3 linked regions of the Kluyveromyces lactis genome follow. The protein of the gene in region 3 interacts with the protein of the main gene of each other region in a pairwise test. Links are inferred from orthologs where the notes say so. Each region holds a gene or a part of one and is shown on either strand. Other genes may lie near its edges.

Region 1 (4,144 bases), on a different chromosome or scaffold from region 3:
AATGATAGGTGGATCAGAGTACGAAAGAAGGAATTTCAGAGTAGTTAACGAAGAAAAACCAAACTTTTATTTCAATGACAGCACGAGTGAAGATGATAATTCTTACATGAATACAGATACCAATTCCATAACCGCATCGCTGGCAAGACGCAGTTCTTTATCTTCATCTAAAAAAGGTGCAGCATCTTCGTTATTAAGTAATACTGAATCTCGTCAATCTTCAGCACTGGAAGCAAAGTCCATTGATAACGACACCATCAACACGACTCCGTCATCAGAATTCAAGAAAAGTTTGACCAAGGGATCGATTCCAGATAAAAATGTTCGACTCATCTCAAGCTACATAGAAGAGCTACGGCTCTTGTACTTCCCCACGTCAAATTCCTTACAGTTGCCTCCAGATCTACCTTATGCTTTGAAGAACAAGAATACTCTTGAACAACCACAAAATATCAAAGTTACAATACGAACAAGTACTAGACAAGTCGGTATAAAGCACGGCAAGGCCAAACAGAAGCTATTATCACTTGAAACTACAAAAGAAGAGGAAGAAGAAGAGGAAAATAACAGTACTACAGGCCTCAAATTCAATACCGAGTCCACAAAAGTTGATCATACTAAGGAATTTCATACTTTGTTCAACAAGGATGAAAAAATTTCCGAGGCAGACCAAGATATTCTTGATGATATTCCTGGTGATGAGGCATACGATAGCGATGATTTAATGGCACCGTTGCGTGAGAACCCAAAACAAAGAATTCATGACGAAGTTTCCCAAACGCGCTTGAAAAGATCAGATACTGTATCCAGCTATTTCACGAGAAATGCTGGTAGAATGAGAAGCGGTACTCTAGACGTAACGTACAGTCCACAGCTACCACTAGATCTACGGAAATATAACCTGATTGAAGAATCTCAAAAGCCATGTACTCCTGCAGTACATGAAAAAGGTGACACTAATCCCAAATCTCATAAATCTAGCATTTCGAATGCTGACGATGATTACGAGCTTGACGTAGCAGATTTCGGTTACTACCGCGGTACCGCTGGAACAGGATTGCATATAACCAACCCAGATTCAGAATAAACTATCATTCAAACAATATTACTGCTGCATCTATATCTTGATCTATACGTATCTTGTACCAATGTATATATTAACGTTTCTAATACCCGGTCAAATTCATTGTTACCCGTACTTTGTTTTATGTTGATTTTCAGGACGAAAATGAGATTCTGAAATAAAGAACATGCTGTTTTGGAACAGTTCTGTTATGAAATAACATATGCGAGAACCAGGAAGTTAAAAGAAGCTACACAAGACACACAGGTCAATTGAGGTATGACAGTCGGCGTCGAACAACCTGCGTATACGTTAGTGTACGACCCCAATCCAAATGGGGTCACATATACCGTATCAGACTTCCAAAAGGCATTGGAAAAGGGGTCTGATACTGAAAAGATCGCGACCATGAAGAGGATCTTGGTGACCATGTTAGATGGTAATCCATTACCAGATTTGTTGATGCACATCATCAGATTTGTGATGCCTTCAAAGAACAAGCAATTGAAGAAGCTTTTATACTTTTACTGGGAAATTGTTCCAAAATTAGATCGTGAAGGTAAATTGAAGCAAGAAATGATTCTTGTCTGCAACGCTATCCAACATGATTTGCAACATCCAAACGAATACATCAGGGGCAATACCTTAAGATTCTTGACGAAATTGAAAGAAGCAGAACTTTTAGAGCAAATGGTTCCTTCTGTCCGTGCTTGTTTGGAATACAGACACGCATACGTTCGTAAGTATGCAATCTTAGCAGTTCTTTCCATTTACAAAGTCAGCGACCATTTGATTCCTGATGCTTGTGAAGTGATTGATTCCTTTTTGGTTGCAGAAACTGATCCAATTTGTAAGAGAAATGCTTTCCTAGGTCTTGCAGAATTGGACCGTGAAGCTGCGTTGAACTACCTACAGGACAACCTAACTTCGATTGAAAATTTGGATGCTTTGCTACAAAACGCCTTCATTAGTTTCATTAGAAAGGATGCTATCAAAACTCCAGGATTGGTCTCTCAGTATGTTGAATTGTTGCAAGATCTTTTAGTTTCTACTCGTTCTACGGATGTCATGTACGAAGCTGCCATTACTTTAACTGTTCTAACCAATAAAGAAGCTATTTTATTGACCGTAGCTAACAAGCTAATTGATTTGGCCACAAAAGAATCTGATAACAACATCAAGTTGGTTGTTTTAGAAAAAATCAACGAAATAAACGAGAAGAATCCAGGCTCTTTAGAGGATCTAACATTGGATATTCTACGTGTTTTGAACGCACAAGATTTGGATGTCCGTGCTAAGGCTTTGGATATCTCCTTAGAATTGATTACGTCCAGAAACGTAGACAGTGTAGTTAAGTTATTGAGGAAAGAATTACAATCTACTGCTGATAGCAGTAACGATAAAACTCTGGAGTACAGGCAATTATTGATCAAATCCATTAACAAAGTGGCAATAAGATTTATTGAAGTCTCCTCCAATGTTGTCTCATTGCTTCTAGATTTTATCGGTAACTTGTCGTCTGAAAGTGCCAATGATGTCATTTCCTTTACAAAACAGGTCATTGAAAGGTATCCTGAGTTAAGATCTGAGATTTTAACTACTTTGATTGAGACATTGCATGAAGTAAAGTCAGCAAAGGCTTACCGTGGTGCTCTTTGGGTACTAGGTGAGCATGCCCAATCCGAAGCAGAAATCCAGAATACCTGGAAGCACATCCGTTCAAGTATAGGTGAAGTTCCAATTGTTCAATCTGAACTGAGAAGAGTTCAAAATGATGACGAAGACGATACTGAAAAGGCCCCAATAGTATCCACAGGGCCGGTAGTTTTGCCAGATGGTACTTATGCAACCGAATCTGCTCTATCTGTCTCAGAAAAGGTCAAATCCACCTCAAACGAGGAAAAAGAAGCAAGACCTCCTTTACGTCGTTTCGTCCTAAATGGAGATTTCTTTACTGCCTCTGTGTTGGCTAACTCTATCGTTAAATTGGTGTTGAAATTCGAAAAGATTTCCAAGAACACTTCTGTAACTAACGCCCTAAAGGCCGAAGGGTTGTTGATTTTGGTTAGTATCATCAGATTAGGTCAAAGTAACTTAGTAGAAAAGAAGATTGACGAGGACTCTGCTGAAAGACTAATGACGGCAATTTCGGTATTGATGGACGAGATTTCTACCGAAGAAAGTCAAGCAGAGAAAGAACTTTTGAGTTTGGCATTCTTGGAAGCTACCAACGAATCATACAAATCAAGAGTCAATGTTACTTTGAAGAAGAATGCTGCCAAGAGATCAAACTACCTAGCCAAGCACGCCGAGGCCATCGATAAATCCATCGTTTTCAGACAATTTAAGAATGCAGGCTTGCACAATACCCCCGTCGATTCAATCGAAGAAGATATAAAATTGGCTACCACCGGTACTGTATCATATTCCAAACTACAAGCTAATTCTATCACTTCAAAATTGAAGAAGATCGTCCCATTGACTGGTTTCAGCGATCCTGTTTATGCCGAGTGTTATATCACTAATCACCAATTCGATGTTGTGTTAGATGTTCTATTAGTGAACCAAACCAAGGATACTTTGAAAAACCTACATGTTCAATTCGCTACTCTTGGTGACTTAAAAATTATTGACCACCCACCTAGCACCAACGTTATTCCACATGGGTTCCACAAAATTACGATAACAGCAAAGGTGTCCTCAGCAGATACTGGTGTTATTTTCGGTAACATTATATATGATGGTGGTCACGGTCAAGATTCTCGTTATGTCATCTTGAATGACGTTCATATCGACACAATGGATTATGTGAAACCAGCAATCTGCGATGATAACAGTTTCCGTAAGATGTGGAATGCGTTTGAATGGGAAAATAAACTTCGTATCAAATCCAAATTACCATCTTTACGCGGTTATTTAGAGAAGTTGGTGGAAGTTACACATATGAAGGTTCTAACCCCTGAAGAGGCACTCGGCGACAATGATTCCAGATTCCTAAGTTGTAACTTATATTCTAGATCTACATTTGGCGAGGACGCTTTGGCTAACCTGTGCATAGAGAAGGATCCAATCACACAAGAA
Region 2 (2,787 bases), on a different chromosome or scaffold from region 3:
CTCGTTTCTCCAAGAAGAAGGATGTACCAACTTTGGGTGATATGAACACTTCCAAGGAAGACGTTGAAAAGTTCTACTCTTTCTGGCACAGATTCGACTCTTGGAGAACATTCGAGTTCTTGGATGAAGAAGTTCCTGATGATTCTTCCAACAGAGATCACAAGCGTTACATCGAAAGAAAGAACAAGGCGGCCAGAGATAAGAAGAAGACTGCTGACAACGCTCGTTTGGTGAAATTAGTCGAAAGAGCCATGAACGAAGATCCACGTATCAAGCAATTCAAGGAAGAAGAAAAGAAGGAAAAGGAAAGAAAGAAATGGGAAAGGGAAGCCGGTGCTAGAGCCGAAGCTGAAGCCAAGGCCAAGGCTGAAGCTGAAGCTAAGGCTAAGGCTGAAGCGGACGCTGCTCAAGCCGCATCTGCCAAGGTTGACAAAAAGAAGGCCAAGGAAGCTGCTAAGGCTGCTAAGAAGAAGAATAAGAGAAGTATCCGTAACGCTCCAAAGGATGCTGATTACTTTGGTGATGCCGACAAATCCACTACCATCGAGGAACAAACTGGTTTGATTGTCGACTCTTTGGACGACGAACAATTGGTTGACGTTGCTGAAAAGATCAAGAGTGATACTGCTGCTGCTAAAAACATATTGTCTGATGCAGCAAAGGCTTTGACTGACGCTGGGAAATTACCGGCTGCTATTGTCTCTTACTACTTATAAATTTAAAGATGAGATCAGTTCAAAACCAGCCCAGAGGAAATATATAGCATATAACATAGTCTACTGACATTGGCTCTGCTATTTAACCCTTCGATTTATATATATATACCAGTAAAATCTGACAGCTACCTATTACTTCGGTTTCCAGGAAAGTCAGATAGTGGTATCGCTTATATAAATACCGACTTTAAGATGGTATAAAAGTAAAATCCGAATTGCAAGCAGAAATGAACAAATACTTCAAGCGCTTACTGGTTTATCGTAGCATCGGGCTTCATACATGGACTGATGTGGTAAACCTCAAATAGTATGAAAATTTTAGGTTATACTATATATATACGGTAGTTCAACGTCCAGTATTGATCAGTACTGAAAAATCAAAAACAATAACAGTGTGGGAGAAAAAAGGACCCAACCTAAAAGACAGATCAGTTTTTTTTTGCAGAGTACTGGAACCAAACGAGAACAGGTGTGAAAACATAGTGAAAGTTCAGTGGTAGTGGATATCTAAGGAATTGGAACCTATTTTGCGAGCTGCCATTACTTGTGTCGTTTTGGAAGTATAGCTCACCGTAATACCTGTGCATAGTATTTTCTGTTTGAGCGCAAAATTCTAATTGGTAATACTGAAGCGGAATACCATTGAACGAGCCATGTCTTTTAGAGGTAACAATTTGGATACGTTTCCAACAGCAAAGCCTGGGTTCCAAGGTGCATCGTATGGCCAAGCGTCACAATCTCACAATGTTTCAGCTAAGGACAAGTACAGGCGATTATTTGAACAATTCGCTAAAAGGGTTGAAGACTTAACGGAACATCCATTGGTCTTGAAAATTAGGCCTTACACCCCAATCATTGCTAGATTCTTTATTGTTGCCACATTTTATGAGGATTCGTTGAGAATCATTGCTCAATGGTCAGATCAAGTGTTTTATTTATGGAACTACAGACATTTTCCTTACTACTTTGTCGTTTTCTTCTTATTTTGCGTTGTGATCTCTATGTTTACAGGCGCCACGCTATTAATCTTGAGGAAACAAACCGTGTATGCCACCAGTGCATTGATTTGTACCGTCATTTTACAAGGTTTGGTTTACGGTCTGTTCACCGGATCATCTTTTGTCTTGAGAAACATTAGTGTCATTGGGGGTTTATTGATAGCATTTGGTGACAGTATTGTTACCAACAGGATGACCTTTGGTATGCTACCTGAATTAGACAGTAAGGATGGTAAATTCAAAAATTACTTGTTATTGGCTGGAAGAATTCTAATGGTTTTGCTCTTTATTACCTTTACTTTTACTAAGAGTTGGTTGACAGTTTTGTTGACGATTGCAGGTACTGTTTGTATCGCAATTGGTTACAAGACAAAGTTCGCATCTATAAGTTTAGGTTTGATTCTAGCGTTCTATAACATTACCGTCAACAACTATTGGTTCTATGGGTCTAGCAAAAGAGATTTCTTGAAATACGAATTCTATCAAAACTTAAGTATCATTGGAGGTTTATTGTTGATTGGCAACACTGGTGCTGGTCAATTGTCAATTGACGAGAAGAAAAAGATCTACTGATGTTAACATGCTTTTATTTCTTCAAAGCAAACTAAAATCCCAAAGAGTTCTTTTGCCCTCATCAAACTCCCATTTAGAATATGTGAACTTCAGTTCATTTTGTCCAGCCCTGAACGGTTGCATGATCATTTAAAAATAGAATATGTGTAATTACATACTTGTATTGGCTGGCGTCTATAAAAGCGGTATTCATTTCTCAGTTCATTTGATTATGCTGCAATTATGGAACAGGTTCTTCGTAGTGTTACTTTTATATATATTGAAAATTATACTTTGAGTTTCCAATATTAAAAATTGCCGGACGCCTTTTAATGATCAATTCCCCATATTAAATAATAACATTTTATTCGCCTGTACTGTATTGTCACGAGCTCATAAGATAAAAGATAATCAAATACTATATAGTTATTCTTTAGTACACATGCATGTACAAATTGACCCCGAAAAGACCACCACCTAGTGATAATATTAGTTTTATTCTGCTATAGCTTTAACTAACA
Region 3 (3,303 bases):
TTCTCGTGGCACCTCTATGTGAATCAATAGTAAATGCCGCCTCTTGCCACATGAAATGCTTCTTATATACCTCATCAAGTTCAGCTAAGATCTGTTCCATCTCCTTACTGTATTGATCCATTAATTCTGCAGAAACGTCGTACATCTGATCCCAATTTAATTGTGATATAGGACTCTTATCATTTTGATTCTTCACCAGACTCTTACTGATTTCCTTAACACTTTTCAAGAATTCATTCTGCAACACTTGCCTTTGAACCTCCTCTTTCTTCTTATCACTCTGCCATTCGGCGGCTAATTTGTGAAGGTCTAAAGGGAGAGCATTCGTGGAACAAGGGGATGCTGTTTTTGGATCAACATTTGAAGCTTTGTCGATATAGTTAGCAGTGTCTGAAAGGGATGATAAGTTGTTAGGCATTGGTCTCTTGATAATCGTTGTTTTATGAAATCAAGTCGAAGTCACATGAGTGAAGCACATAATTAAAAGTTACTGTTTTTCTATTTTGCATTTATCGACAGGTACGTAATTATAACCAAAGAGAGATTTGAACCAATTGAAAATGAACCACTTTAATATGCCTTCATACCATCTATTTATGCTACGTTATCCAACTGGTTTATAACAGTTGAAAGTTCTTTGGTAATCAGTCTTTTTAGATAAATTATTCATCTAAAAGCCCATGAGATGGACTTTGATCTTTTGAATAGTGAAGAGACCACTTAGGACCAAGAGCTAGGACTAGTGACTTGTCTACAAGTCTGAAAATCCAAGATGCCGTGTAAACGATGAATGACAGGATTGCAACGAGTCTGATAATAAACTGGAAGAATCCAATACGCATATCACTGATGATTATCTTCATGGGTTCGAATTGATACCTAATGAAGATACCAGGAACCCCGGTAGCTTTACTAGATTCTCCGTACTCTGTTTCACTCAAAGCATATTGATTGGTATCTACTTCGGCACCCATTTTTTTGTAAAGTGTTGGTACTATCGAGGTAAAGTAGTAATATGCTTTGATCTTCTCATCCGAAAATTTGGCGGTGTTATCTAAAGGATTGTCAATGTAAGGATAAAAGTCACCGAAGGAAAGTTCGTTTATTACATGATTGAAATTTATTTGGTCCTTTGGAATGGCAGAGGCAGACCGGTAACCCCAACCGTGAGCGGTGATATGTAATTCACCTTTCACTTTATTGACAGGAACTGAACCAAATATGTGACACCCATTAAAATCATCTCTTCCAGTTAACTCAGACGTATCAATAGCCTCCCTGAACTGGGCTGGGATCGCTTCGCCAAGTATTTCGTCGAGGTCCGGTGAAACAATATTGTTCATCTCATTTACTCTTGTGCCCACAGGGATGTAAAATGGCATTCCTTCCATTTGAATGTTCTCTGATATGAGTCCACGGTCGCCAGTAATATCTCTAGCATTAATTCTAATGTTTTTACATGCCATATTCACGTAGAGATCCAAGTTAATAGTAACGGTTTCCTTGATTTGGTCGTCCACGACATATTGCTGATCAATGTAACCTCCAAAAAAGCTACCAAATTCGGACCATGCGATGAATAAGAGAAACAAATATGTCAAAATGGAGCTAAGGCCACCCTTGGATGAAGTCTTCACATGCTGTTCATCGGTTTTAGCTGGTGATAAAGAAATGCAACGCATAGGTTTGGTATGCATGTTAGTATACTCATATAATTTGAGAAGGCCCTTTTTATTTCAAACATGGGGCCTCTATAAATAGGAGAAAAAAGAACTTACGGAACGCATCAAATGTCCTAAGACCTGCCATTGCTGAGAATAATTTTTGACCGTTGCCCGTTAGCTGGTACAGACACTGAATGTTTTTTATGCATCTTTAACATTCAATTCAGTTACTTAACTTAAATGTTCCACTATTAGATTTCACCATGAAATTTCGAAATTTCATATTGGATAGTGAAGTGGAAACTTTCCGATACTGAGAACACGCCGATCGTTTTGGGATTAAGTAGGAAGCTATGAGGGCGGTAGATTTGTAGGCGCTAAGGCCTATGAAAAGCTCTTGATATATGGACGGTTTATAAAAGACTATATTTAGTGTTCATATCTACACAGTGAGCAGGAATCCATCGACTGCAGTAGTCCCACTAGCAGGATTTAGCGCGCTGTAATTATCCTCAGTATCTTTTTCTTCTTCATCTTCTACGGCTGTTGATTGTGTTTCGCTCATTACTGATGCAGACATGGCTGAGTGTGGTGTCATCCATTTGAAACATAGCACCGCAAATATTAGCTCCACAAAGAACCTCGCGATGTGGAACCATGCACCCGTTCCGAGAGACGCGTGGATAATTTGTAGTCTTTTGTAACGGAAACAATTAATCATGAAGGTAAGCAGCAATATGTGAAGAATATAGATGAAAGTAATTGTTGCATTGCAAATACTCAGACACCGAGTTATTGAGCAGATTGAATTGATATTCCAATTCAATTGCTTGATTGGACTTTGTGTCTTTTTGTGTTCGATTTGCATCCACATCCAGAAAAGAAGAAGCATCAAACATAGAGATGCTAAGATGCAGTTAGCTACTACTGTCCATTTCAACACAACATTGACAGCATCATAAATGTTTATCAACCATAGTCTTGTTTTCCATTGTTCCATTTCGTTCGGATCATTTGGGGTGATCATTTTCAATAAAGTGTTTCCTCTTTTATCATCCTCTAAAAATTTATTGAAGGAATTGATTAACGTCTGGTATATGATCCAGAACGAATCACCAGTTATCTTTACATTAGTCTCCGATAAAACCCCGAATTGAAAGCCCAAATCACGAATTAGAACGGATATTATATTTAGCCCGTTTGTGTTATCTATACAGTAATGGTTTAGCTTCTCATCTTGGGCCTGATGTTTACAATAACCGAAGGCATTCACATAATACGTATTTGATGGATGAAATATGTTTATCAAATTTGATTGATTATATCTATCTTGCAACTCACTCAAATCTATTCCCCAGTTGAAATCCAATGTAAAAAACGATAATAGAGAAAAAAACTCCTTTACGGTGCTGAATAGCACCTTAGAGGTTGGAGTGTCGTCTTTGAAATGGAACACATATTGAGGCATGCATATTGGAAGATTTGCTGATGAGGTACACGTAAAATTGGATAAATGAGAAAACCACACTAATAATGAGAACGAAATTAAAATGATAAAAGAGATGTATTTGAATCTCATAGCGGCACCTCACGGAGGTAAACGATATGCTCCTAGAAATAAATAAGAAAGCACATATAG

The links.
Region 1: the proteins of ERV41 (region 3) and SEC26 interact in binary tests that used the Saccharomyces cerevisiae proteins (3 or more experiments, as listed by UniProt). The link is inferred for Kluyveromyces lactis from reciprocal best matches to the Saccharomyces cerevisiae genes ERV41 and SEC26.
Region 2: the proteins of ERV41 (region 3) and ERV29 interact in binary tests that used the Saccharomyces cerevisiae proteins (3 or more experiments, as listed by UniProt). The link is inferred for Kluyveromyces lactis from reciprocal best matches to the Saccharomyces cerevisiae genes ERV41 and ERV29.

What each region holds. Positions count from the first base shown.
Region 1 is NC_006039.1:1,329,126-1,333,269, reverse strand, and holds the start of SEC26 (coatomer subunit beta), read left to right. Parts: upstream 1-1,342; coding exon 1,343-4,144. Other genes in the region: KLLA0_C15301g (uncharacterized protein), read left to right, coding at 1-1,087. UniProt on the Saccharomyces cerevisiae protein: The coatomer is a cytosolic protein complex that binds to dilysine motifs and reversibly associates with Golgi non-clathrin-coated vesicles, which further mediate biosynthetic protein transport from the ER, via the Golgi up to the trans Golgi network.
Region 2 is NC_006042.1:287,443-290,229, reverse strand, and holds ERV29 (protein ERV29), read left to right. Parts: upstream 1-1,369; coding exon 1,370-2,287; downstream 2,288-2,787. Other genes in the region: ZUO1 (zuotin), read left to right, coding at 1-716. UniProt on the Saccharomyces cerevisiae protein: Constituent of COPII-coated endoplasmic reticulum-derived transport vesicles. Required for efficient transport of a subset of secretory proteins to the Golgi. The C-terminal di-lysine motif is required for exit from the endoplasmic reticulum.
Region 3 is NC_006038.1:449,589-452,891, forward strand, and holds ERV41 (Erv41p), read right to left. Parts: upstream 1,810-3,303; coding exon 1,779-1,809; intron 1,658-1,778; coding exon 663-1,657; downstream 1-662. Other genes in the region: GMC2 (Gmc2p), read right to left, coding at 1-418; SMA2 (Sma2p), read right to left, coding at 2,107-3,243. UniProt on the Saccharomyces cerevisiae protein: Constituent of COPII-coated endoplasmic reticulum-derived transport vesicles. Required for efficient transport of a subset of secretory proteins to the Golgi. The C-terminal Ile-Leu motif is required for exit from the endoplasmic reticulum.